7 linked regions of the Coturnix japonica genome follow. The protein of the gene in region 4 purifies or fractionates together with the protein of the main gene of each other region. This does not show direct contact. Links are inferred from orthologs where the notes say so. Each region holds a gene or a part of one and is shown on either strand. Other genes may lie near its edges. The genes, in order: DNAJB6, MYEF2, KHDRBS1, SOX2, HNRNPA3, DNAJA2 and BAG2.

Region 1 (4,142 bases), on a different chromosome or scaffold from region 4:
CCTGTCCTTATAGTGTTCCAGCCACTGGTCTTCCTCTGGATATGCTCCAAAAAGCATATTCAAATCTATGCTGAAACAAACAATCATCCCAAAAACTAACAAGTTTTTGACAGGTGAAGTAGCTTGTCGCTGTTCTTTCCATTCCATTAATAAATTGATTAACGTTATGGCCACAATAAAGCTGCTGATAGAAAATGTTCCATTCAAAGCATCACGATTTCTAATGCATGAAGCAGAAGATCTACTGCACGCTGGGAGCTTTGTGTATTGACATGGGTGAGATGCGCCAGCAGCACAAGAGCAGAACGTTAACACGCATGGCTGTGTCACTGCCCAGCCTCACTCAATGCCAGACCAAACGCAATGCCTCCAACCTCACATGGACACACAAACATCTCTCCGATGCGGATCCAACTTGCAAATTGTGTCAGGACACACAGGGTGGAGTTCTGAAGAATCTTTACAGTTAAAAGTGTATATTTATCCATATAGCTGAGTCCGAATAGCGCTAGAAAGCCGGAGGACAGAGGCCTTCGACCTGTCGGTATTAGAGAGAGGAACTGAATCCCAGTTTGACTTGCACCTCCAAGCAGCTCCTGCTCTCTGCTCCACAGCACCATGAGAGACAAGAGGGGAAACAGTTACACAAGCGCTGTGTGCTACTTCAGTATTTACTTCTAGTTTTAAACAACTGAAAAGGAACACGCAAAAAAAGGGCAATCAGAGACGAGATGGGTAAATACATTCACTCGCTCAGCCAAACAAATCTTCATTGTGACAACATAATCCAGCAAACCGAATGGTGCTCCAACAACCAAGCCTCTCGATCATCAGCTGAACATAATCCCTAACGAAAGTACAACGATCTCCAAAGGGTAAACAGAAATCAAGGTCAGCACGCAGTGGGAAGCGCAGCCTTGGAGGACCAAGTGATGGGGCCTGTTGTGGGGCTCTATCAGGAGAGGGGTGGTCACGCAGCGACTTTAGGAGGTGATTTGTACCCTATCTACTTCGGCTCTTGTGAGGGCCATCTGTTGTACCTGTGTCAGGTGTGGAGCCCTCAACAAAAAAAAGACATGGAACTTTTGGAAGGGTCTCCAGCAGGAGGGACAGGAGATGACCTCAGGCGGCGCTGGAGACTCCCCTGATTGAGGACAGGCTGCACGAGAGTTGGTTTGTTCAGCCCTTGGAGAAAGAGAAGGTTGCGGGGTGAACCTACAATTGGATCAGCCTTCTCAGTAGCACCTGAAGGGACCTACTCCGAGGATCTCGAGGGGAAGTTTATGAAAAAGCCTTCTGATGGACAGAGGGTGACAAATAGCAGGACACGGGAAATTGGTATTTTAAGTTAGGGAGGGAGAGGGCACAGATTTTGGTTGGATGTTAGGGGAAGTCTCTATCACTAGGGAGGAGTGGAGGAGAGTGGTTAGGCCCTGGAACAGGCTGCCCAGGGAGGTTGTGGATGCCCCGTCCTTGGAGGTGTTCAAGGCCAGGTTGGACAGGGCCCTGGGCAACCTGATCTAGTAAAGGTGTATGTTTGGTGGCCCTGCCAGGCAGGGGGGTTGGAACTACATGATCCTTGAGGTCCCTTCCAACCCGGGTCATTCTGTGAGCAGCTGGGCTGACACCACACCAACACCTTGTTCTTCACACACTGACACCTCACCCCATAAAAACATCAAGCCCAGACCACCGGCTATGCAACATCAAAAGCATCCCCATCGTTCTATATTCAACTTTAGTGACATTAACTTATCCAGATTGGAACCAGCCAATCAATTTACTCTTATCAGAACTCTAAAAGGAACCTGCCCCCACATTTTGATGAACCTTTTCTACTGTCTTCTGTGGGCTGATGGATGTTGCACAGTTTTCAGTAGTGCTGACAAACTGCAACACAACATGAACTCATGCAACAAACAGAAATACTGGCCATAAATAACTTCATTTCCCAACCCAGCACTCAGACAGAAGCGCAGCAGACACTGACCATGACAACAATCAACCTTACAATGAATTTGCAGCTCAACCTGGAAACATCTGGCTTTCAAAACGCTGCTGCCTTCACCCACAACACTTAGTTCTGACCCTGCTCTGAGTTACTAAAAGGAAATCGGAACTCAATTCCTATCAGAAAAAGAAATAGATAGATAGAAAGAAGAAGATAGAAAATGGCACGTTTAATTTACAAGCGTGCCAAAATTACTCAGTGAACAAAGGAAACAGAAAGGCCTGTTCAATAGGCTCTAGATCACTGACTCCTCGCTTTTTGCGGCCGAAACCAGCCCAAGCAGAAATAGAAGCAGGGATTTTCCCCTTCCCTGCTCTCGGTAACCACGAAGCACAGCCGGTGTGGGACATCCCACAGCTCACCACCACCCCGCAATGAGCTGAGCGCAGGGCAGCCCCATAGCAGCCCCATAGCAGCCTCCCTCCCTCTCTCCCCCCACTCCGGCCCAGCGGATCCACCATCACACATCCCGCAGCGGCCCAGCATGGCGTCACCAACAGCCGCGCTCAGGGCCCGGTCCCAGCAGCGCTGTCGCTACGAGCCGCGGCCCAGCCCAGCCCGGCCCGGCCCGGCCCGGCCCAGCCATCGGCGCCCCCTCCCGCTGTCCCAGCCCTTCCCCCTGTGGTACCGACCGACACCCGCCCGCAGCCCCGCGCTCACCCGCCGCAGTGACCTCCCAGCCGGCAGCCCCGGGACAACGGCAACGGCGGCGGCTCCTCAGCCGCAAACAGGAAGAGCCGTCACAGCGCCGTCACTTCCGCCCGGCTGTTTCCGGAAGTTTCTCGAACGACGCACGCACCGCTTGCTCCTGTACAGGCGGGGGTGGAGCGCCCCCTGGCGGCAGAGCGGGGAGCTGCAGGGGGCGGCTTCCTTTTATCACGGTCATCGATTACGCTTGTCTCTATATGGTCTCGTGATGGCAGCTGATAAGGGATGGTGGCTTTATGGGTGTTGGTATGGAAGACTTGGGCAGACATCTTGTTATCAGAGGATCTCCATTGCTAAGGAATTCTCAGCTCTCTAGCTCTCTATATCTTCCTGAAGGGAGGTTGTAGTGAGCTGGGGGTTGGCCTCATCTTTCGTGTAATCGGTGATAGAACTAGAGGGAATTGTTTTAAGCTGCGCCAGGGGAGATTCAGGCTGGACATTAGGAAGTATTATTTCTCGTAAAGGGTAGTCAGGCATTGGAATGCACTGCCCAGGGAGGTGGTGGAGTCACCGACCATGGGAGTGTTCAAGAAACGTCTGGATGTTGTGTTGATGAATATTATTTAGCCGGGAAGTATTGGGAATGGTTGGACTAGATGATCTCCTAGGTCTTTTCCAACCTTGATAATTCTGTGATTCTGAGGTCAGTTATGGGGGTCAAAGATGAAAAGCCCATCAGAAGCATAAGAAACACTTGAAAATGCTGCATAAAAGAGGGACTAATATTAGTTCCTTTGATGCTGTAATGGCTGTAGCCTTCTTGGCCTGCTGCTCTGCTCTGCTGCTTAATGAATCCAGTTTTTCTATTTACAGATTCTATTTTCGGTGTTAGCGAAGAACGCATGTATCAAAGACTGTTCTCACATCATTTAATTATGGTAATACTGGCAAAGTAATTCTGGAAAGTGCCACTTAATTAAATATAAGCACTAACTTTTTTTGCTGATACCTTATCAGAAACAATTAGACTTGAAATACGAGCAATACACCTAACGTTTAAAACGTTAAGCAGAAGCTTTAAAAGCACAAAATAATCAATTATCGTTAGAATTCTCCCGAGTTTTTCTGCTGAGCACAATCTCAGTTTTCATTTGTATGGAGCTTCTTAGGTAATCAATAGGATGCAGGTTTATCCGGTTGCCTCTTTGTAACCAAAGGCTTGAACAGAATTCCAACATAAAGCATGAGATATATTCTACTGATGACTTGGGGTGTGCAGATGACATTCTAAGAGCAGCTGCTGGCAGCCACGAGATCTCACAGCTTGTGAATGGTGCTTATTCCTTGCAAGGACGGCCTGATCAGCGTTTCTATTCATTAATTTGATCTGAGATGTGCTTCCTTATCTGTACGCCAGTGACAAATACATGTTAATTCTATGTCATTCTTCATCCACAGCCACGTAGGTCTAACAGGTAAGTAA
Region 2 (3,500 bases), on a different chromosome or scaffold from region 4:
ACTGCCAGATAGCGACAACAGCAAGGCACACAATGATACAGCACACTGATCTCAGTGTTTCCCATCAGTTCTTTTACACAGAACACTTTAGCTGGTACCTTTGTTACACAATCTAAATAGGAAATACCCAGCAAGTAACTTTACCTTTTCCTTCCCTATTACAGGAAGTAAGCTACCCTGATTTTCTCTACTCCAATAGCAGTGCAAACACTTTAAACTAAATGAGCCATTTCCCAGATTGGGACTAATAGCCCCATTTGTCAAGGTTGAAGAATTCATCCTATTGAACCTTACTGTGTAGATATGTCCTAGCTTCTCCCACCCTAAAGAAACTCATGTAAAAGCTAGAATTGTCTCTCAAGGCCTGTCTTAACTGTATATGAATGCAGAGTTCATGGAATTGGGTGGGGAAAAAAGAGAAAAGGGCAATACTTTAATTAAAAAGTGCCAGGTAAAACCATGAAAACATCAGAACAGTGAGAGAAACTGATTCTAGAAAGTGGGTTTAAATGGGTAAAAAATGAAAACTTGCTGATGTTATTGAAGTGCTATGATTCAGTAAAGTAAGTAACCCTGAGGGAATTGTAAGAACTCAAAGAAATACATTCATGTCAATGCCTAACAGAGTAGGGGGCTGTGCAGACTGCATAACAAACACTCCCATTTGTTCTGTGGAACAAACCTGACAAAATTTGTTCCAACAAACCTTGTTTCTAGAGAAAGAGCATTCAGGTGACCACAGGTCTAACAGCAGCACCAGACTGATAAAAGAGCTTCCTATAACAATAGGCAATGTTTCTGGATATAGGTAGCATAATCATTTCAGAAAGTAAACTGCTGATATTTTCTACAAAGGCTTTTCATCTTCCATCAGATTCATTTTCTGTATATAGTTCAGAACAGCAGCAGTGGTTCTCTGCTGGTCTCTTGGGAGAAAGCTTCCTCCTCACAGAAAACATGCTGTCAGAGAGACTTCAAAAACATATGGACCAACCTGTTCAAGATACTATGGTTGTTCAACAGCAGCAGGATTACTCCCAATAGTCTGCGTATGAGGAAGCCCTCAGTACTTATTCATTAGGCCTAAGAGGATGTAGTACAAGTAACAGACTTTTGAGTCCTCTTGTACAAACACTTCTAACTGTACTGGCTCTGGATTTTCACTGAAGAAACAGATGTTCATCCTAAGCTGCAAGTACATATAGTGAAAGATTATACTCAATTTTTAAAGACCTTAATTCCAAGCCACCAAGTCTAATATAACTGATAACCTCACTACATACCTACTGCTTGCTACACAATTACCAGTAGTTGTAGAGAAGCAAATAACAGTTACCCTTCATTGAGACTTGCCCAAATTAACAACCCTCTTTCTCCCCCAAAAGCCTACAAGTTGCATGTTTCCTAGAGCCCATGAATCTTATGGTTTTAACACACCTGCACTTTCACATTAGTGAGCTGAGGTGTGGAGCATAATGAGGGGCAGGGAAGAAAAGAAAGGCTGGCTCCTATGTGTTCACCCAGGTAAGAATATAGTAACAAAGTGAAGAAGGTTCCACTACTAACCACTTCCAGGCCACTCAACCTCTATACAGATAGAAGAGCATCACTCATTTGAGGGAAGCAAAAAGTAGCAAAAATGAACCCGGCCAGAAAGGCATTATTTATACTTTAAAAAAAAAAACAAAGAAACAACAACAAAGCTGGCCCAGTTTCAGAAGAGGCCAGGATACCCTGTCCTGAGCTGCATGAGAAAAGACTGGAAGAAAACAGAGGGAACCAAAATCCACCACTGCTCTCCAATGCTGCATGATTTGCAGCAAGAACCATTTTCCAGCATGTCTTTGCAAAAGAAGTCTCCTGGAAGTTGCAAAGGTAGTGAATGAACAGCTTGTTCAGGACTGCCAATATACGTTTCAATATCCAAATGACATAATGTCTGGCACAGTTAACAGCCTGAAGCTCAATACTTTCCTCAAATCATTACTTCTATGCCACAGATTAAAAAAAACATTTTAACTTCTATCTCCAGAGACGGACATAAACACATAAATATCCTTAAATAAATAAACATCCTTATAATAACAGCCAGTGAGACAGAGGAAGATGGCCAAATGAAACCACACCTCTTATTTTTACCCCCCTACTTAAAACTCTTCCAAATACACAGAGACTTGAACAGTTACCATACCCATCCTTCCAAAAGAATCTCCAAAACCACGGTTCAGTGCCATTTCACTACGAGCAAAGTCTCTGTCCATGTTTCCTCCCATTCCACCACGGAACATTTCTGCAGAGAATAATGCACAAACCAGAAAAATTCTGTCATATTCATCTAAGTTGATGTTGATACAGCACTTGTTTCATCGCTGCTTGTTTAGATAGAAGTGGGTTTAATCCATCAGTCAAAGGCACCTTTCATATCAGCTCCTATGTTTCCATTCATGCCACCACCCACATTTCCTTTGAATTCATCTACATTACTCATCTCTATCTGAAGAAAGAGCTTTTAAAACAGCTCACGGATTAGCAAACTAATAGCATTCACCCACCTCCCATCCGGCTGACTCCAAATCCTCCCATATTAGGCATTCCTTCCATTCCGCGAAATCCAGGTAGCCCTGCAAAATAAGGAAGAATGTTCTTCTATCCAGTAGTTTAAAAAGACATAATACAAAGATGTTCACTGCACGTACCGCCTCCCATTCTATTCATTCCGCCAAAACCAGGACCATCTATTCCCATACCTTTAAATCAAAGAAACAAATGCCATTTAGAACACAGGTAAGATCCTACTGTATTTCTAAAAGCAAAATGTGTCTCAAAAATACACTATGCAAGGATGGCCTTGACAAGAACGTGCCATTCTTCCAAACACGGAAATGACAATTATAAACTTAAAAGCTCTGAAACTTAAAAATGAAGAACATGGCTTTACCTCCTGGACCCATGTTCCCCATTCCACCACCCATGCTCAACTGTGTTGCACTAATGGGCTGCCCACCTGGTCCAAGTCCCATACCAATGCCACCAAGACCACCTTCAAAAATAAAAAGAAAAATAAAGCTATCAACATAAGAAAGACTTTCAGTGTAAGAAGACTGCTGTAAGCAAAACTATTACTGAACAGTTCCAAGGCCATATCAACATGTGAGCTGCTCTCAAGGTAATGCCTTCTATTTTATTACACTGGCCCATGATGTCAGAGGCGGATGTTGGTGGTATGGCAGTCAGGGTCAAACCTTCCCACCAATATTCTCTTACACTTTGTTGCCGTGTGACAGGTGGCAGCAGAGGGGTAGTCTGACAAAAGGGTGCCTGACATGGAAGTGTACATGAAGGAAAAGTTTGTCACTGAACTTGCCCATGCAGAAAAAATAGCACCCATTGACATTCACTGACACTAGCTGAATGTTTACAGAGACCAAACAGCAGATGTTAGCATAGCAAGGAGGTGGTGGTGTGTTTCAGCAGTGGCAATAGCTATCTGAAAGATAAGC
Region 3 (4,267 bases), on a different chromosome or scaffold from region 4:
GTGTCAGAGGTGCAGCAGAAGGTTACCTTCTTGCCACGGGGAATGGCAGCAGGCTGGCAGCATGCGTGGCAGTGGCTTCCCGGACTTCATGGGGGCAGTGATTGCTTTGTCTCAGAAGAAATCCTATGGGGCAGGTAAAGGGGGGTTGGTAACGCGGCTGCATTGCAGGAAGGAGGCTCAGCAGCCACAGTGCCACTCCTGATCTCAGCCCGAGCTCTTCCCTAGCAAAACCACCAAACGTGGACCTGCAGCACCCTGTGCTCTGCCCTCCTCACCATCCCGCCTGCCTGGGAACATGAAGGACCTCCAAGATGCTCCAGGTAAAGGTGTGAGCGGAGCAGAGGCAGCTCACTCACAAAGCACAGGAAGCTCAGAGATGAAATGCCAGCTCTGTCCAAGGAGAGGATCTCCATGAAATGGAAATAGCTCAGATTAATGCAAGAACCTGGAAAACACCTCCAGCCGACAGACACGGCACCGGATGCCTCCTGACTATCCCCAGTGCCTGGAAGCACTGTGCCTATGGGATGTCAGCACCTCCAGCCCTGCAGCCACAGCAGCCAGAGCATGAATGAAAGCAAGGAAAAGGAAGCTGGTGTAGATCCTGAATCACGGCAGTGAGGAACCTCATATTCCAAGGTGCAAAAATCCCCGTTTGCAACGTCTGTTCAGGGTGCTGTGTAACACAATCCCACCATCTACCCCCTTCACTGCTTCATATCACACAGTACATTGTCTGAGGATCAGCGTTACATCACTGTGTGGCCTTTCATCCCAATCCCAAACAATGCTGATTTTTCTTTAGAAACACTGAACAGCTCCAGAATTACAAAGGTACTTTCAGGCTACTTTAAGGCTACTTTTAGACACCATTTTACACTCCCCAAACCCCCAGTTCTCAATATACCTGAAGCAAGCAAAAAGCACCCAGCCTTCTTCCAATGTGACACCTCACAGAGCTGCAGCTCACTATGAGCAAACTCCAAGTTAATGGAGAAGCTCATAAATCCTTGTTAGACCGCTCTGCAAACAAAGCTGGGCAAAGGGGGCTGAGAACGCTGCTCCTTCTTTGGGAATGAACACACTCCTCAGGTCTCATGTCACTGAAGGCATTAGCACAGAGCTGTGAGCATCAGCTGGCTAAACGCTTTTATTAATGAAAAACATTAAACTGATGGCAAATCGGATTATAAAACTGATTTATTTAGATCGAGGTGCCCACAAATGATGCCAAGTTACCCGTGACGACGTACCTCAGCTATCTGCAGAACAGGAGACAGCAATTCTTAAGAATTATTTCCCACATTAAAGGAGGAACTAAAAAAGCCTCGAGCGCTGCGACAATTATGGCAATATTCAGCAGTATAAAGACCTGAGGAATCATTTGGAAGCAGGATGACAAACGGCAGCGCACGGAGCTGGTTCAATGTGCTGCTATCCCTGTGCTGGCACCACCTGCTCAGCACCGCACGCATATTAAGCTCCAAGCGGCAGCCAAGATTTGAAGCTGTTCCTGTTTGAAGCCGGCTGTGGGCTCTGCAGGTGGCACTGAAATACAGGAACAAAACTCACCAACCCCTATGAGAGGTCAGAAAGCTGACATGGCTCTATTGCAGCGCTGGGTGCGAGGATGGCACCTCCAAGCTGCACATCCAGGGGTTAAAGCTCACTGATTTCACATGTTTTAGATATGGAAATGTCGATGCATAACCACAACACGACGGCCTCTTCCTAAAATTGCTGTACTTATTAAAAACAGCTGTTGACTACATTCCTAATTAGTACTTCAACCTTGTTATGGTGCCTATACTCAGCCCCAGCAGGGTACAGTGCACATCCCCACAGCCCGTGGAATGCTCAGGCTCTGCTTTTAGGCTCCAGCTGTCCCGCTTATCTGGGAAAAACAACCCTCCCGAGCCACAAGGTCAGTCTGCAGAATAGTCTGTATGAAATGCTGAAGGCTCCGATTTTATTGCCAGGTATCAGAGGCAGCTGAGCCCACCCCGGCAGCTGCACGGGGAGGGAGATGGGGAGGAATGAGAGCGGGCAGGCGATTGGACAGCGGCGATGGGGAAGGAGAAGGCAGCTCCGGGCACAGAACAAAGGCTGCCATTCCCATTCACTACTGAGGATCAGCAGCACCACGGAACGAGCTCTGGACGTGTTACCGAGTGGAAAAGCACAGATCGCAGCCCACGATCTGGCCGCTCAGCTCGGACCCCTCCCCCAAGGGATGACAGCAGCCAACCTCCCTGTACAACGAACCTTCGGCTCCCGGTGCCCTATAGCTCATATCACACACAGCCCAGCGCTTCATACAGAGCCGTTCCCAGCACTCGGTACCGCGCTGCCGCCACATTCCATCCCCACCCCCCGCTCCGCTCGGTACCTGCGCTGAGGAGCTGCATGGCGTGAGTGAAGGACGGGTCCAGGCTGTCCTTCTCGGCCATCAGCTCGGGCAGGTATTTGTTCTCGGGCTCCATCTTGTTGTTTCCCCCTGTCAGCAGCGGGGCGGGGGAGGCGGCGGCGGGGCCTTGCGAGCCAGAGGAGCCTGCCGCCCCTCCGCCGGTCAGCAGCGGCTGCGGCTGCTGGGCCCCACGGCCCCCCCCGCCCCGGGGAGACCGCCGCGGGTTGGGCCCCCCTTGGCGGGATCCCCCGGGTCCCCCCGGCCCGCGGCCCATGCGGGCGTTGGACTCATCGCGGCGCTGCATGCGGGCACGGAGCGGGACGGGCCCGAACGGCGCTGCCACCCCGAGCAGCCGCAGCGACGGGACCGGAAGTGGGAGACCGGAAGTACCGCCCCATCCCTCACAGCGCCCCCACACAGCGCTTCCCGCGCGACCACCCCACGCGCTTCTGCGCATGCGCTGTCGCGCAGCCCCTCGGCTTCACAGGGCGCATGCGCGGCGTGAGAAGGAAGCATTCTCCTTGTGCGCATGCGCAGTGCCGGGCGCGCGATTGGGAGAGCAGCACGTGCGCGGCGCTGTGGCGCCAGGCTCAAGGAGCTTTACGCATGCGCACTGCGGGTCCGACATGGCGGTGCGGGGAGGTGCGATGCGGGACCGGGACCTGGGATATGGGCCTCATGTCTTAGTGCTGCTCTGCCCGGAGCACTGTGTGCTGTGGGCTGGCTGCAGCAATAGGCTTTTATAGGCTGAATATAGGAGCTGCTCTGCTTTAGGGCCATCCCTGCTCCCAGCATTAACAGGAGCACCGGATGTGGATGCGATCACATCCCCATTGCTCCCTGCTGACACAACGTGTTGTTAATCACTGAGCTCTGACACACAGCGTTCGTTCAGCTACAGAACGGACCTGCTGGGCTGCACAGCTCCGTGCTGCGCTGTGCACACGGACGGGAGGGGCCCCGCTGCTGCTTCCTGCGGGCAGAGCACACAGCAGCTCTTGTTCCAGCTGCAGGGCGGGCGCTCCGGGCCCGAACTAACGGGGCACGTGGTTGAGACCGCATCCCTGCCCGGGGCTGTGGCCGGGGCTCGCTGTCTGTCCGTGCTGTCTAACCGGAGCTGCCGTATCAGGACAGGAGGGGATGGGGGGGTTACAGGAGGGCTGTTCCATCGCCCCTCTGCGGGGGGGTGCGCACGTGGTGCGGGCGGACCGGTCCAAGTGCGGCGGGGGGAGGCGGCGGTTAGGGGGAGAGTCGGGCCGTACCAATGCCGGCTGCGTGGGGAGGGTGCGGGGAGCTCCGGCTGCGCAGGGATGAGAGCGGCGGCTCCTCGCGGCTCGGGGACGGGGCTCAACCCGCATCTCGTGTGGCGGAAAACGGCTGCGAGGCTGCGCCGCTCGCACGGCACAGACAGACACGGGATCCCCCCGCGAGGGCACCGAGTGGGCGCTTCCACGCGGGGGGATTGAGGCGGAGCGGGCCGTACCACTGCCGGTTGCGGGGGTGCGTCGCGCCGTGCCAATCAGCGCCGTGCGGGCCGTACCACGGGGCAGGGCGGGGGGGGAGCGGCCTGTGCAGTGTGAGCCGTGTGGCGGCGGGGCTGTGCGCTGTGTCCGCCGCTCGGGCCGCACCGGGGGTCGTTCAGCCTCAGCCCCGTCACGGGCCCCGCCGCTCCCCAACGCCGCCGCCGCCCCTTCCTGCCCCCATCGCGCCCCCCGGCCCGCGGTGTGGGAGGCGCCGGGTCCGCTCGGAAGAACGGCGCCGCGCTCAATGCCCGGGGTGAGGAACCGGGGGGGGCCGGGGTGAGGAGGAGGCCGGGGGAGAACCGAGAGCAGCCCCGGGGCGGGCATGGACCGGGGGGGG
Region 4 (4,245 bases):
GAGCTGCGGGGTCCGGCCGTGTTCGTCCGCGCACCCACCGCCCCCAGAGCAGGAGGCAGCTCCTCGGGGAGCCGGACGGCCGTCACCTCGTTTTCTATAGCGCGTTATGATGCAGATACGCCAAATATAGTTGATTGCGTCGATAATTAAAGCAGTTAGTTCAAACGAAGCTGTAAATACCGCCCCATAACGCAGTTGTTGGGCAATTCCCATCCTTTATGGGTGCGATAAACGCAGTGAGGAAGGGGCCCGGCCCCGCGCGGAGCCGCGCTCCGGTATCCGTTTGTTACACCACCACCGCCCGCTCCTGCCCGCTTTTCAAACTTCATTATCCCCAAAGCTGTAATATTATCGTTATGATTTGGAACGTTGTTATCAACCGCAGCCCCGTGCACGACCAATAAAAGCTGTCGGCGCGGGGGCAGTCGGGCCGCGCAAAAATCGCGCATCACCCGGTGCGCGCATCCCGCAACGCGCGCCCATTTTCCGACGCTTTCAACCCGTCTCTTCTCTCCAGGTTATATATATATATATATAAATACACCTTCGAATTACACGCGTTAAAGCCGATCACATTTATTTGCATAATCCAGAGATGCACCCTCTCCCGCCGCACTTTTTCTACGCGTTACCAGGACGGGGGAGGGCGGGGGGGGGGCACGGCCGCTCCCTTCCCCCCACTCCATCTCCCGCTGCTCCGCACGGTGCCGGCAGGGGGAGCCGCAGTGCCGCGGCTGAGCCCTCGCGGGGCGCCCGGGCGCTGCCCCGGCCCCAACCCGGCCCTGCTTGGGGCCGCGCTTCTCGGGGGGCCCTTCTCGGGGGGCCTCGGCGCTGCCGGGGAGCGCGGCCGCGGGCAGAACAGCGCCGTCGGGGCGCGGCAGTGCGCGTAGAGTGGGGCTGGTTAGAGCCCCCCCCCCCCCTTCCGCCCCCCTTTCTCTCCCCTCCTTCCTTTGTCGTCAAGTGCGTTTTAGCAACAAAGATCCCAACAAGAGAGTGGAAGTAAACTTAGCCGGGGCTTTGTGCAGCCCCGTGTAGCGACAACAAGAGAAACAAAACTACCTATTTGTCCTACGGGCCGCCCCCCCGCCCGGCGCGCCCACCCAGCATCGCACACGGGACGCGTCCCGGGGCTGCAGGCCGCGCACCGCGTTGTGCCGGGAGGGCCGTCGGGGGTTCTCCGCTCCTGCTTCCAGCGGGCACCCCACGATGGAAGGAGGGAGAGAGAAGGGCACGGCCGGCCCCGTTCTGCTCGGGGCCCGCTCGGCTCCTGTCGGCGGGGCAGCCCCGGGGCGGGGGCTCCGCTCCCCACGGACGGGGCGAGCGCTGCACACGCAGCCGGACGGCTCAGGGGACACCGCAACGGGGCGGGGGGTGGAGGGGAAACCATTCCTCCATTCCTGCTCCCCTTATGGCTTCTTCCAACATCGACTTAAAAAAAAAGAAAAAAAAAAGCAACGTAGCAACAATGCTGTTTACCCACTTCCTCCAAAAGGCGTGTGTGACCTGTTGCTGGAAGGGGAGATACAAAGGCTTCCCAGTGGCTGCCTGGGCCGGCCCTGGGCCCGCCCCCCCCCGCCGCGCCGTCCCGGCGGCTGAGAGCCCCCGCCCCGTTTCATGCAAAACCAGGGGTAGAGACTTGTCCTCAGTGGCGGAGCCGCCGAGCGCTGATTGGCCGGGGCGAACGCATTTATTCCCTGACAAGCCCCCATCACATGGATGGTTGTCTATTAACTTGTTCAAAAAAGTATCAGGAGTTGTCAAGGCAGAGAGAGAGAGTGTGTGTGTTTGCAAAAGGGGGTAAAGTAGTTTGCTGGCTCTTTAAGACCGAGGTGGAGAGAGAGAGAGAGAGGGAGAGAGAGAGGGCGGCAGGCAGAGAAAAGGGAAAAAGGAGGAAGAAGTTTTTTAAATCCGAGGCTCCGGCGGTAATAATAGCAGTTATTAGCATTATTAATCCATCAGCGAAGAGGAAGATTCTGATCTCGATCCAAGTGTGGTTTTGGGGAGTCCCCCTCCCCCCCTTCATACCCCTCCCTAGGAAAAAAAAAAAAAAAAAAAAAAGAGAGAGAGAAAAAAAAAGAAGTCCGGCTCGGGACTTGGGCGCCGCTCCGCTCCGCTTCTCCGCTCCGGGCTGGTTCCAGGCAAAAGTAGTTTGAATGTACAACATGATGGAAACCGAGCTGAAACCTCCCGCCCCCCAGCAAACTTCGGGGGGAGGCACAGGCAACTCCAACTCGGCCGCGAACAACCAGAAGAACAGCCCGGACCGCGTCAAGCGCCCCATGAACGCCTTCATGGTGTGGTCGAGGGGGCAGCGGCGGAAGATGGCCCAGGAGAACCCCAAGATGCACAACTCGGAGATCAGCAAACGGCTCGGGGCCGAGTGGAAGCTGCTGTCCGAGGCGGAGAAGCGGCCCTTCATCGACGAGGCCAAGCGGCTGCGGGCCCTGCACATGAAGGAGCACCCGGATTATAAATACCGGCCCCGGCGGAAAACCAAGACCCTGATGAAGAAGGATAAGTACACGTTGCCAGGGGGCTTACTGGCGCCGGGCACCAATACCATGACGACCGGGGTAGGGGTTGGGGCCACCTTGGGAGCTGGGGTGAACCAGAGGATGGACAGTTACGCGCACATGAACGGCTGGACCAACGGAGGCTATGGGATGATGCAAGAGCAGCTCGGCTACCCGCAGCACCCGGGCTTGAACGCGCACAACGCGGCGCAGATGCAGCCCATGCACCGCTACGACGTGAGCGCCCTGCAGTACAACTCCATGACCAGCTCGCAGACGTACATGAACGGATCGCCTACCTACAGCATGTCGTACTCCCAGCAAGGGACCCCGGGCATGGCCCTGGGCTCCATGGGCTCGGTGGTCAAGACGGAATCCAGCTCCAGTCCCCCCGTAGTCACCTCCTCGTCTCATTCGAGGGCTCCTTGCCAAGCCGGGGACCTTCGGGACATGATCAGCATGTATCTACCAGGTGCTGAAGTACCAGAACCAGCTGCCCCAAGCAGACTTCATATGTCCCAACACTACCAGAGTGCACCTGTTCCTGGCACAGCCATTAATGGCACACTCCCTTCTACTCAAATGTATGTAAGACAAAGGGGCCGGGGGGGCGGGGTGGGGGTGGGGGGGGAAGGAGAACTAAACAAAACAAACAAACAACAACAACAACAAAAAACTTTTATTAGAAATTCTGGACTTTTTGTTTTGTTTTGTTTTGTTTTTGTTGGTTTTTGTTTTTTGGTGGTTTTTTTTTGGACTATTTTTGTACAGAGAAAACTCTGGGGGGGAAGGGGAGGGGGTGGGGGGGGGGCAGGGAGGGGGTCAGAAATAAAGCCGACAAAGGAACTTGTATAGAGCTCGGAGGGGAAGCGACTACACAAAACTTTTTTAAAGTTCTAGTGAGAACGGTAGGAACTTTGCAGGAAAAGTTTGCAAAAGTCTTCACCGGTAATATTTAGAGCTTAGACTCCAAGAGCGGAGAGGAGAACGTTTGAATATTTGCAGGCAACTTTTGTACAGTATTTATCAAACTCCACATGGCAATCAGAATGTCCATCGCTCATAGGGAGAGGGGAGAAATCAAAGCCGAGAATTCGCGAGTGATTTTTTGACCACACAGACTCTCCGTGGAGCACCGTGGCCGTGGCAGCTCTGCTGACGGCAGCTGCGGGAGGAGAGGGAATTATTTTGCAGCATTTGGACGTTGAAAATTGGTTTGGAAATTGTACAAAAGGCAAAAGCGGTAGGAGGAAGACTGGCGAGCCGTGGGCTTGGTTTGCTGGGAGAGGGCAAACGTTTCGATGTACGACGTTTTGCTTTTATTTTCTTTTTTACTTCTGGTTAAAAAGCAAGAAAAAAAAACAAAACAAAAGGCCATGAAGGTTCACACGCCGTTTGTTAATTTATAATAACTTTTTTGTTTCCAGACTTCATCCCGTTCAAAGAGAAGGAAAAAAACAAACAAACAATCCCCCCCCCCCCAACCCCAACCTGAACTTACTGTGTTTGAAATATTTTCTTATGGTTTGTAATATTTCTGTACATTTATTGTGATGATATTTTAAGTTCCTTTTTTTTTTTTTTTTTTTTTTTTTTTTTTCCTCTCAACATATATTAGTAATTGAACAAAATTATTTAGGCTAACCATACCTCTTCAGGACATAAGAACACTGGCAGAGTAACATGAAGCCTTCTTTCATAACTTTTTTTTTTTTTTTTTTTTTTTTTTTTT
Region 5 (3,500 bases), on a different chromosome or scaffold from region 4:
TTCCACATCACAAACAACAGCTAAGCTACCCCACCCACCTACAAAGCGGTCACTTACACACTTCATCTCTTAAAAGGTTGCATACAGATCTTGTTCATAAAGTTTATTATGACACTATTTTTCAAAGTTAACATTGTTGTCACAGTACAGCTACAAGAGGCCCTGTTAAAAAGAACACTGTCAATACATTCTAAAACTTTTAGAAATACCATATCCATTTTCAGAAGGGACATCAACCCCATTCTCCAGTTGTCCCTGCAACCAGATGCAGGCCCCAGTTACAAATCTACACGACTTCTAGGTGTAGCAACGTACAAAGCAAGTCAGCAGTTGGGTGGCTCACTCCCTAGTGAGATGTTTTAGTTGTTAATGTGTTTTCAAACTCCAAGTGGGTTGGTTAAAAAAATGCCTTTATTGAAATACAACCTTCCCCCACCCACCCTCCCCACAAGCCCAAATTACGTACAACAACAAAATGTTCACTGCATCAGCAATTCTTGCTTTTAAGTTAGAGATAGTTTAAAACTCCACAGAAAAGAATAAGCAGACTTTGATATCCAGTTTGGAGGCTAACATCTTTGACAGTGATTCCTTGTTTTAGTGTACTGCAGTCTAAATACACTCAATAACAGTGTTCAAATAACATTGTTTAATTATTTTTTTTTTCCAAGCAACACACTCATTTTGCTAATAACTTCTTAAAATTATATTATTAATATGACTGATTATGCCTTGAGCCATTTCATACATCTTTGCAGATTCATTCCTACACTGGAATCGCATTTACCTTATACTGCACATTGACCCAGAAGTGAAACAGGTGTAATTTCCAATATCACATATTGTCAAGTGTCTGAACATTTCTTCTATTGACTGTGTCCCTACTCTTCTGAGTCTCAATTGTCAGAAAGCACTGTCCTGGCAATAGTTGAGAGAGAAGTGACATCAGCTGAGAAAAGCAGAGATTGTAGTGCCTTAATTTGGAGTTCAGAAATGAGAATTGAGTACAATTTCTAGCCAGATGTGCTGATAAGATTTGCTACTCCAGTGCATCAAATCAAACTGTAAAATACTATCATTCTACCTCCTGTGGTCAGGTAAAATATAACTAGATTGTGTTTTGTTTCATCCTCAAGCTCTTACCTGAGCTTAGATATTCGTAAGGGAAAAAGCTCTATGCTACTTAGAGCCCATCGTGAATGGGCTTTTGGAACGCCATTACCTGGGACTGTCAGTGATTACACCTGTGCTACCCTTGGCTCCCAGTCAGATGAATGTGTCCAGAAAATTGCCTAGGGTGCATGCAAGAAAGTATATAGCCATTAAGTTATTTAGGAACATACCTATTACTCTCACTATGATGCCTCATTTAATCGAAACAGCACAGTCTGGTGTGAGGGAGAGGGGAAAGGGGAGAAAGGAAGGGGATGAAAATTCCAAGCCACCCTCCCCAAAGTATAGTTTTATTGAAACAGAATCATTGTATATCCCAAGGAAACAGGCACTTGATTCCCACCCCACCTTAACTTCTCGGGAATTACAATAAATAAAAAGGTAAAAAGCAAGTTTCTTTTTCTCTTCACCCAGAACTTCAGCAACTGCAGTTATCCCTTATACATCTCAGATGAGACTGGACACAGCTTGAATGTGACTAAAGTTGGTCTTGTTAAAATATTTATCATGCCTTATTTTCTTGAAGCGCTACTACTAATACAGAACTACAAATTAAAAAAATATGCACAAACCAAAAAGTAATTTGAAATTTTCATTTGAAGGTAAAGCTTAGTTCTATAATTCACAAACACTAATTTGAGTAACTCAATCCTAGTTATACATCTAAACAAACTATAATGCAACATACAGATGTTCTCCCTCTGTATGCCTATGTAACTCTTATCAATGACAGTTACATATATACACTGAGACTAGACCCCTTAAGACTGCAAATCAATAGGTGTTTCTATTGTTAACTTTAAATTAATACAAAATAGTAATTGAGAAATGCATTAATCTTCTCTACTAACAAGGAAACACCCTAAACTACATTTTATTTCTGTTATAGAGTTCTCTGTACCAAATGTGGAAGAACTGAACTACACAAATATTGAAAAGTTAAAAATTCCTTAATTTGTTTATTCCTGGTACCACTACCACAATTTACAGGGCAATATACCTGATGTAATGGGAAAATAAAAAGAAAAAAGAAAGACAAAGCTACAACAGATAAAGACCTCAGGAATGTACATCTAATCGACACTACATTGCATTAATCAATAGCTGCACTTTTTGCAAACTGTGGCTATGACAGTCCTGAACAAGAAGGGTTTCCTGTTTAAGCTGCAGTAACTTTTCTGACTATGGATCATCGCTCCTTCTGTGGCAGATTTTACAGTTCCTCTAATGCATTTGGGACGACTGTCTCAAAGTAACCTGCAGCTTTCCTGACAACTCCTCGCTCTCTCTCCTGCTAAGAACTGTAGCCTGTTGAATACAGGATAAGAAAATTATTACTCTCAGTGAACAGTTGTACATTATTCATCATCATTATAAATATTCATTACACTTACCCTTTTTCTGGTAGCATTTTTAGAATCTTCTACCACCATAGCCCCCACTTCCACTTCCAGATCCATAACCACCTGCACAAAAAACAAAACCCAGCGCATATTGAAACATAAGTGATACCAAGGAAATGTAAACAAAGGGGTTTTTTTTTGGTACAGAAATATATTTACCACCGTAGGGACTGCCTGAACTTCTACCACCAAAGCTGCCACCACCCTTCATGGGACCATAATTGGACTGCTGCTGTCCACTGTAGTTACCAAAGTCATTGTAGTTTCCACTGCCACCGTAATTACCTGAAATAAATTCACAAAGTTCGTGAAACTGAGACATTCGGTGTAAACTAGCAAAAAGTAAAGTAAAGCTACTTGTAAAGTAGCAATTTGAAATTAACATGGAAGGCCAAAGTTAATGCCTCCCAACTCAAAAAAAACTCTGCTTTCACCATCATTCTTCCACTATTCAGTGCTCTGTACGTGACATAAACTACAAGCCAAAAGCAATTTTTATTTGCTGTAACAAGTGATAAAACTGTAATGAGCACATAGATACACCAGAAGGTATTGGTAAGCGTGCAGTAGATTTTGCTGCTTAACCTCCTAAACTCACACTGGGTCCTTGCATGTTCTTACTGCTTCTTCCCCCCAAAATTCTACTAAAGAACCTAGCATGTTTTAGTGTTTGTGGTACATCCTGACAAGAAACACATCATTAAAGGCCTCTACTGAAGTGATCATAGATTCAGAAATTAATCATATCATTTCAAAGCTCCTGCAAAGATATCAATGCTGGCAACACAGAGTAAGAATACGGCTGAACTGATAACAGGACACATCTAGACTTTCATTTAATGCCTTCCACGCCATCAAGGGTTTACCCTTGCTAATGCTGTAAAACAGCCATGTAGTAATGTGGTTCCTGGTTATTTCAAAAGG
Region 6 (3,500 bases), on a different chromosome or scaffold from region 4:
TTGCTAAAATGCAAGATAATCATTATAAACGAGGAGTAAACCTAAAACCAAACATAAGCATCCACTCTCTCTTAAAAGTTACAGTACTAATTTCAAACTACTAAACTGAATTTTGGAAACTTAGTTCTGTTCTGTTAACATCAGTGAAAGGAGGATTACTGAGGGAGTCCCATTTTGCAGTATTTTACCACAGCTCTGAAGTATCATATAAATATAGTCAGCAAAACTTGAGATTTACATACATTGAAGAGAAGACAGCTGGTCAAACTGGCTTCATACAAGACAGAAATTATCTAAAATAGCCTGGCACATAAGATTCCACTTCTATACTGCTCTGACAGTGAATAGTTTTTCACACTGTTTGTCACCTCTAGCAACACAAGTACATCCTCCAGCAAACTGAAGGATAATTATACAGAACAGCTTAAATTCTCTGTTCTACCCAGCTGAAATGATGTACTCGAATGGTGAAAACAAGATGTTCAGAAATATCATTTGTAAAATATTTCAATGAAATACAGCCCTTTGTAATTTCAGGTATTGTCATAAACAAAGCTATCTAAAAGGCTGCATCACTGCTCTGCAAATTGCCTAACATTCAGAAAGAATTCACACAAAGCACATATCGCATGACGGTCAAACAACCAATTCAGCAAAGGGTATCTTAGTAATTTTTTTTTTTTTTTTTTTAAGTCCAACTTCAGTTTTAACATAAAGCTGTTCTTAGAGAATAAGACTGCAAAATTAAATAAATAAAGGCTTTTAACCCTCCTCCCCTCTCCCCCCCAGATGTTGGTCTTTTTAATAGAAGAGTAAAAGCAACAAGTAAAATTCACATCTAAGTCTTTAAAAAACAAAATAAACAGAAACCACCACCACCACCAAGTAACACACACAAAAAAAAACAAACACCAGAATTAATCCCCATTACTCAAGTTTCCAGGTTGTTTTCTGCACTCCAGACATACAATGGTGTTGCTGCTCTAATTAAAATGACTTCTCCACACTGGGACCAGACACCTAACTGACCACACGAGGGAAAAGCTCTCCTAGATGAGATGCCTTTCACTGTATGACAGAAGCTATGCAGCAGTTCTTCCAAACACACAAGATAAATATTTACATATTTTTATTGCATATTTATAAGCGCACTGAGGAATACAGAAGAGCCGGCCTACCTTCTCCATTGCAGTCAGAGCATACAGACTGCATCTGCTGAACCATTCCAGGAGCCAGCTGTCTGATCATGATACGTACACCTCTACCCCGACAAGCATTACATTTCTGAACAGCTCCAGCCTTCCCTCCTTGACTAGAATAGAAAGCACCAGTTGCATTAAAACCAAGCCTTTCAGAAACATATGACAGAATATTTACAGCAGTAGGTTAACATGCCTGACTGCACTGCCAATGAGTCAGGTGTCCCTACTGGCAAACACAAACACACATACAAACCCCAGTTAGTTCAAAGCCCATGAAATTACAATTAAACTATTTTCCAGTCTGAGTGAAGACCCCAGTAAGTTAAATACCGATGAAGATCTGACACAGAAAATGCTTCATTATATCATATATCAACAAAGCAACTAGAGAATTCAGAAGCAGAAACAAACTCACCCATTACATGCGCTACAAAGGACATTCTTGCTAAGTTGTAGTTTAGTTGTCTTTCCATTATATAAATCTTCTAAAGAGACTCTGCAAAATAAAGCGTTTTCTCCAGTGTTATCATTTAACAGTATCTGTTCTCCACATAATTAAGATATCTGCCTAGGACAAGTAATAGAAAAACAGTTCTTCATAATGACTAAATCTGCTGTTAAAACAAGATATTTTTAAAAAGCACCACATTGGCTTTCACAAGGAATCATTAAGAATTGTTCCATACATATGAATACATAGACACAGCCCTGAACACCACTTAAGAGAAAAGCTATGATGTAACTGGCAGAAACAAAAACAAATTAGTCAGGCTTCTCCATAGGAAGCAAGCAAACATAGCATGTTATGTTTCATTACAGTCACATCTGATATTTTAGTTTTCTTTTCCGAAGAGGTTCTACCAAGCAAGTGAGAAGCCCTCCTCTCTCTAGATCATCTTCGAGGTATTTATTGCATACATACACAAGAATATATACTTACTGCTGTACTTTCCATTGGAAAACAGAGGATACTGGGGGAGAGGAGGCATAAAGAAGGACTAACAAGTCCCAAGGCTATATGGTTCTTTACATTTGTTCATTTTTAGACACCCTTGAATACACAAGCAAATTCTAATAACCTTTGTAAAGTGAGAGAAGTTGATTAACCCCAAGTTCACATTACTGGACAGAATTTTCAACGTCAAGAATATTAAACTAGAAAAGGTTGCCCAGCATTAGCACATACAAACAAAAACAAAACTAAAGAAAATTAGTAACACAGCATACACTACTAGCTGCTAAACTAAGTAAGCAAACAGAAGCAACCAGACTCTGCATGGTTTGCCAACCATAGAAAAGATGCAGCCTTAAAGGAAGTTTGAACAAAGCTGCCTAACATTAGTACCTCTGCTTTCCTAAGAGTCCAGCTATTATGCAATACTTGTTTATTTAATGCAATTTCACATTAGAACTTCCAAGCATAACTCAGAAGCAAAACCAAGAAAAAAACATCAACTAAGGCTTAGTTGCAGGTTAGTAGTCAGACAAATCAAAGTATCAGATAACCTACATAATTAACTATTTATTGAAAATAAGATAACTGCCTTCTGGACCATACATGACACATACAGGTCTGAAAAGGAGGTGCAAACTGCATAACCTCACCTGAGGAGCACACCAAAATTTAAGCTAGCAGAGAAGAATACTGATAAGAAAAACTTGAAAATGTATATTAATTTCAGCAATAAGATACTTACTTGAGAGGATGCATCATATCTTCACCTCTTCTTCTACCATTACGACTTCTACTCTGACCACCCATGAAATTGAATAATCCACCACCAAAGATGTGGGAGAAAATATCGTCCATTCCACTGCTTCCACCACTACCTTCTCGAAGGCCCTGTTCTCCATATCTATCATATAACTCACGTTTCTCTGGATTTGACAATACTTCATAGGCAAAGCTTATTTCTTTGAACTAGAAGAAGGACAGAATCACATCAGTGCATGATAATTTGTAACTAAGGGAGAATTTTGCTACAGTTCCCTGCCCAGCATGAACACCCTAGGATGATAGTACACAACATAACCTTTTCCACCCCTCCTTTCTACTAAGAGAGGAAGGCAGACTTAGACATAGTTGTATTACATCTTACTTTATACTAAAACATGATATTTTATCGCAGATATCCATTGACTTGCTTTTTGGGCCTAGCACAAGACAATCTTACTAACACGTAAAAAATGCACATTATTGCAGTAGCCAACAGGCAAAAACAAGTTACATACATGACAGAGATTGTCAGACTTGTCAGGCACTTAAAAAGTTGCTCAATTGTTCTCCTGTTTTAAAAT
Region 7 (3,986 bases), on a different chromosome or scaffold from region 4:
TCTCTCAGCAGGGTGCCAAAAATTGGGCTGCTGGAGCTATGCAGTATTTGCCCAAACCTGGAGTTAGGGATAAGCAAATTCCTTTTTAAACAGTCACAACAATGGCAAGCAAAGCCTGTGTGTGCCTTGAGCTGCTGGAACTCTAGGATCAAGGGGTTTCTGTGGGAGCTGGTTCCTGAGCTCCTCTAAGGGAAGGTTCTGCTCCATGTGGAGAAGTGATATGTGATCTCCCACCAACGTCATTACTGACTGTGGTTCCGCTGTGTTTCCTACCATTCAATGGACATACAGTTCTGTTGGGCACTGAGGGAGAACAGAAACAACTTCCAACATAAGCCTTTCTGTATTGTCTTAGACTACTTCTTGCACTGAGACAGGGTCCGTTAGCACCAAGGTGCTGTTCTTGGGATCATCTGAAGGACTGTGGTTTTAAGAATGCTCAGTTCTGGCTCTGCTCACAGACCAATTTCCTTGACCTCCAAATTTTCTGCAGTCTTTGTACTAACAGCATGAGACAGACACAAAGCTGTTGGAGCAGGTCCAGAGCAGGCCGTAAGGATCATCAGAGGGCTGGAGCTCATCTCCAATAAAGAAATGCTAAGGGAGTTGAGTCCGTTTGATTTGGAGAAGGGTCTGGAAGACCTCACTGCATTCTTTCAGTATTTAAGGGGAGATGATAAAAGGGAGGGAGACTGAGATCATGGCCCAGTAGTGACAGGACAAAGACAAATGATTTGAAATCAAAAGAGAGGAGGTTTAAGATAGATATTAGGAGGAAATTCTCTACTTGGAGGGTGGTGAGGCATTGACTCAGCTGCCCAGAGAGCTGTGGTGCCCCATCCCTGGAGGCGCTCAGGGCCAGGCTGGGTGGGCCCTGGGCAGCTGAGCTGGTGGGGGGCAGCCCTGCCCACAGCAGGGGGGTGGCATCGGATGGGCTTTGAGGTCCCTTCCAACCCGAGCCAGTCGGTGATTCTACAACGGCCATCGTGTAAAGTGTAGACACTAAAAGTCTCCCTCCCGTTTCCTTAGCTCCAGTTTCAGAAACAGAGCAAGAAGGCCGCCGGTGCCGACGCGGCGCTGCGGTCCTGAGGGCTGCGGGAGCTGAGGACGCTGCGTGTGACTCGGCTCCGCGCCGCGGTGCCCGGCGGGCCGAGCCGCGAGGCGGGGCGCGGAGGCGGGGTGCCGCGGGGGCAGGCGGCGGGCGGGCTCCTTCTTTGGCCATGAGCGGGACGCCGGCATTCGGCCGCCGCCGCCGCCTGCGGGACGCGGGAAGGGAGCGGCCGCCGCCGCCGGCAGCGGGCGAGTGCTATGGCCCAGGCTAAGATCAGCGCCAAGGCGAGCGAGGGCGCGCCGCCCCAGCAGCAGCAGCAGCAGCAGCAGCAGCCGCCGTCCGCCGGGCAGCTCCGAGGCCGCTTCTACCGCTCCACCTCCATGGCGGACCGCTCCAGCCGCCTGCTCGAGAACCTGGACCAGCTGGAGCTCAGGTGGGGCCGGGGCGGCGGGGGGTCGGGAGGGACGGGACGGCGGGGCGGCGGGGCCCGGCGGGAGAGCCCCGCTGCCGTGGGACGTGTGCATGGGTGCGTGGAATAGAGGCGTTTTTATAAGAGAAACGGATTTTCCCGGCCCGATGTGTGTAACGCCAGGCGCTGCTCTGCTCTGCTCTGTGGGGAGCTGCTGGAAGCTCGGAGCTGAAGCGCGGTAACGCTCGTGCACCCCGTGCCTCTCTCAGCCCAGGCACCCAGCACGGCCACGTTCCGCGCTCGCAGACCCTCTGTGTGCCCGCCGGGCTGCCCGCACTGACGGCTGCCGCTCTGAAACCCTGAGCTGTGGTACGGCCAGCACTGCGCTCTGCGGCACAGCCCTATTTGTAAATAGCTCCGGATACAGCCCGTGTGAGCTGCCCGGGTGAGGTGGGCACCGCGCTTCAGCCAGCAGCGCTGCTGTCCCACACAGCCCGCCGTGCATTGAGCGGCTCTCAGAGCCACCCGGGATGCTTCCAGGTCTTTCTGTAATTACAGAGCCCCACGAGAGCTGGGTTTTTCCCTTTCTGTGTGCATTGCTTTGCATTATTCAGGAGGCAGCAGCGTTAGCCTTTCACTGATGAAATCTCCTCGGAGCTCTTCTCAGGCTTCTCCGAATTTGACTAAACAAAGTCAGTGCCTGCAAACAGGTCTCACTGCTGGCATCCAGGTGGAGTGTGGTAGCGTATAATTACAAAATGCTGCGCTGGATAGGCAGGAGGGTATGCAAAAGTGGGTTTTAAATGTGCTGAGCAACTCCGACACGAAGCAGACAGTTTGATTAGCCAGAAACGAAGGCCAAAATGAAACCCTCCTGCTTGCCGTGGGCCTTCCAGAGAGGCACATTTCTAAGTGTGGAATGATGGCAGAATAGGGGCAAAGTGCTGTGATTAAAGTCAGCCAAGTTTCAATTTTGCTGTGTGTAAGCAGTGAAGACACCTCACTTTAAAGCCATTTGAATGTTAGGAGGAAGATTGCCTGGGCTGCTTCCTTCTCCAGATGGTGTGACCGAGCTGCAGCCCCGTGGATAAGACTTGTGAATGCCACCAGTGAGGAGTGCCATAGTGCACCATGGGGTTGTTGAGGGGCTTCATAAAGAACTTGGCCATGAGGCGGCTGAAGGCTGGCTGGGCCCCGCATCCCTTTGGAAGAGCTGATCCCAGCTGCCCTCCTTTTCCTGCCTCCCCCAGGGCCATGCTGGGCTGCCGTGGGCTGGTACCCACCAGCCATAGGGGTGCACAGCTCCCTGGGCCTTGCAGTTCTTGCCAATTATTTGAGGCACCTCCAGGAGCTACTGCTGAGTGGTGCCCAGGTTTGGGCCCGCACTGCAGGTGTTGGCAGAGGCTCAGGACAAGCCACTGCCCCAACTTACTGTGCAGCGTCAAGGGATCTCACAGCCATTGGAAGCCGCTGTTTATGAGTCACTGCGTTCTGATGGCAGCATTAAATGGACATGTAGTTCCAGGTCTAACGATGCACAGGCACAAACACAGACTCCTGCTTTTGTTTCCTTTCTTTCCCTTTATAACTTCTTGTACCTTTTGTCCTCTTCTCAGCCCTTTCCTCACTGCTCATTACTCCAAGCCCCAGCCCAGCAGGAGCAGCTGAGGACAGCGGGCTGAAGGGTCCCACTTGGCCTCGGCACTTTGGCTGAGCTGTGTTTCAGGAAAAAGCGCTGAGGCCTCACTGAGTGTTTCTGCATCCTTCTGGAAATTCATCTCCAGCGGGCGAGCTGCAGTGAGCTATTTCTGCAAGCCCCTGGTTAATGCGTTATTGCAGCTGTCCCAGGAAAGCGGATATCACGTTTCTGCTGGTGGAACAAAGCGTGGGTCGGCCCACCTGTTCCTCCAGGGAATGCTCTGCTCATGTCCATGGCATGCAGAGAAGAACGGCATGGCACCTCTCATCGCTCTCAGACCAAGGCAAGTCAGGAGTGAAGAATGGTTCTTTTAGGCTCAGACGATCCGCGGAATATTAAACTAATGCTGAAAGCAACAGATAAACTCCATCCATAAGGATGTCATTGGATATTTTCACCCAGCAGAAAGAAGCCCATACTGCTGCACTCACCACAGTAAGGCACAGACCTGACAGCCTTCTACAAGGAGAGGAAGCTGCCAGAGTCGGGTCTGCCTTAGGCACTGTGCCCTCGCTGCCAGCAGAGCAAGCTGGGGAGGGGCAGTCAGGAGCCCACAGAAATGGCCGCTGGCGTGACTGGGTGTGTAATCCTGTCTGTCAATCTGATACCCACTTGTGACCTTTCCAGGCCCCCTTCTCTGTGGACAGAGGCTATATATCGCCAGTTCAGATTGTATTCACGCATGGCGATTTATTTTCTTCCCTTCTCTTCCTTCTCTTTTTTTTTTTTTAAAGTCAGTCAGTCACTGAAATACCTAGTGGTAGGAACCCACACTGTTACCTTGACAAAGCCTGCCTGCATCTCCTCAGCACGTTCCCCTACCTGTC

Evidence for each region.
Region 1: the proteins of SOX2 (region 4) and DNAJB6 purify together in Homo sapiens (affinity purification with mass spectrometry; 3 studies listed by BioGRID and IntAct, with this or other methods). This does not show direct contact. The link is inferred for Coturnix japonica from reciprocal best matches to the Homo sapiens genes SOX2 and DNAJB6.
Region 2: the proteins of SOX2 (region 4) and MYEF2 purify together in Homo sapiens (affinity purification with mass spectrometry; 3 studies listed by BioGRID and IntAct, with this or other methods). This does not show direct contact. The link is inferred for Coturnix japonica from reciprocal best matches to the Homo sapiens genes SOX2 and MYEF2.
Region 3: the proteins of SOX2 (region 4) and KHDRBS1 purify together in Homo sapiens (affinity purification with mass spectrometry; 3 studies listed by BioGRID and IntAct, with this or other methods). This does not show direct contact. The link is inferred for Coturnix japonica from reciprocal best matches to the Homo sapiens genes SOX2 and KHDRBS1.
Region 5: the proteins of SOX2 (region 4) and HNRNPA3 purify together in Homo sapiens (affinity purification with mass spectrometry; 3 studies listed by BioGRID and IntAct, with this or other methods). This does not show direct contact. The link is inferred for Coturnix japonica from reciprocal best matches to the Homo sapiens genes SOX2 and HNRNPA3.
Region 6: the proteins of SOX2 (region 4) and DNAJA2 purify together in Homo sapiens (affinity purification with mass spectrometry; 3 studies listed by BioGRID and IntAct, with this or other methods). This does not show direct contact. The link is inferred for Coturnix japonica from reciprocal best matches to the Homo sapiens genes SOX2 and DNAJA2.
Region 7: the proteins of SOX2 (region 4) and BAG2 purify together in Homo sapiens (affinity purification with mass spectrometry; 3 studies listed by BioGRID and IntAct, with this or other methods). This does not show direct contact. The link is inferred for Coturnix japonica from reciprocal best matches to the Homo sapiens genes SOX2 and BAG2.

What each region holds. Positions count from the first base shown.
Region 1 is NC_029517.1:7,716,774-7,720,915, reverse strand, and holds the start of DNAJB6 (dnaJ homolog subfamily B member 6), read right to left. Parts: upstream 2,801-4,142; 5' UTR 2,672-2,800; intron 2,666-2,671; exon of another isoform or gene 2,644-2,665; intron 1-2,643. UniProt on the Homo sapiens protein: Has a stimulatory effect on the ATPase activity of HSP70 in a dose-dependent and time-dependent manner and hence acts as a co-chaperone of HSP70. Plays an indispensable role in the organization of KRT8/KRT18 filaments.
Region 2 is NC_029525.1:8,888,744-8,892,243, forward strand, and holds part of MYEF2 (myelin expression factor 2), read right to left. Parts: intron 3,041-3,500; coding exon 2,939-3,040; intron 2,748-2,938; coding exon 2,697-2,747; intron 2,622-2,696; coding exon 2,553-2,621; intron 2,291-2,552; coding exon 2,192-2,290; intron 1-2,191. UniProt on the Homo sapiens protein: Transcriptional repressor of the myelin basic protein gene (MBP). Binds to the proximal MB1 element 5'-TTGTCC-3' of the MBP promoter. Its binding to MB1 and function are inhibited by PURA.
Region 3 is NC_029538.1:4,465,967-4,470,233, reverse strand, and holds the start of KHDRBS1 (KH domain-containing, RNA-binding, signal transduction-associated protein 1), read right to left. Parts: upstream 2,801-4,267; 5' UTR 2,712-2,800; coding exon 2,390-2,711; intron 124-2,389; exon of another isoform or gene 91-123; coding exon of another isoform or gene 27-90; intron 1-26. Other genes in the region: PTP4A2 (protein tyrosine phosphatase type IVA 2), read left to right, coding at 3,672-4,183. UniProt on the Homo sapiens protein: Recruited and tyrosine phosphorylated by several receptor systems, for example the T-cell, leptin and insulin receptors. Once phosphorylated, functions as an adapter protein in signal transduction cascades by binding to SH2 and SH3 domain-containing proteins.
Region 4 is NC_029524.1:14,829,380-14,833,624, reverse strand, and holds SOX2 (transcription factor SOX-2), read left to right. Parts: upstream 1-1,445; 5' UTR 1,446-2,153; coding exon 2,154-3,368; 3' UTR 3,369-4,009; downstream 4,010-4,245. UniProt on the Homo sapiens protein: Transcription factor that forms a trimeric complex with OCT4 on DNA and controls the expression of a number of genes involved in embryonic development such as YES1, FGF4, UTF1 and ZFP206. Binds to the proximal enhancer region of NANOG.
Region 5 is NC_029522.1:14,084,638-14,088,137, forward strand, and holds part of HNRNPA3 (heterogeneous nuclear ribonucleoprotein A3), read right to left. Parts: intron 2,862-3,500; coding exon 2,736-2,861; intron 2,640-2,735; coding exon 2,587-2,639; 3' UTR 2,568-2,586; intron 2,482-2,567; exon of another isoform or gene 89-2,481; intron 1-88. UniProt on the Homo sapiens protein: Plays a role in cytoplasmic trafficking of RNA. Binds to the cis-acting response element, A2RE. May be involved in pre-mRNA splicing.
Region 6 is NC_029526.1:6,535,196-6,538,695, reverse strand, and holds part of DNAJA2 (dnaJ homolog subfamily A member 2), read right to left. Parts: intron 3,124-3,500; coding exon 2,900-3,123; intron 1,699-2,899; coding exon 1,618-1,698; intron 1,313-1,617; coding exon 1,179-1,312; intron 1-1,178. UniProt on the Homo sapiens protein: Co-chaperone of Hsc70. Stimulates ATP hydrolysis and the folding of unfolded proteins mediated by HSPA1A/B (in vitro).
Region 7 is NC_029518.1:79,197,086-79,201,071, reverse strand, and holds the start of BAG2 (BAG family molecular chaperone regulator 2), read left to right. Parts: upstream 1-1,186; 5' UTR 1,187-1,308; coding exon 1,309-1,484; intron 1,485-3,986. UniProt on the Homo sapiens protein: Co-chaperone for HSP70 and HSC70 chaperone proteins. Acts as a nucleotide-exchange factor (NEF) promoting the release of ADP from the HSP70 and HSC70 proteins thereby triggering client/substrate protein release.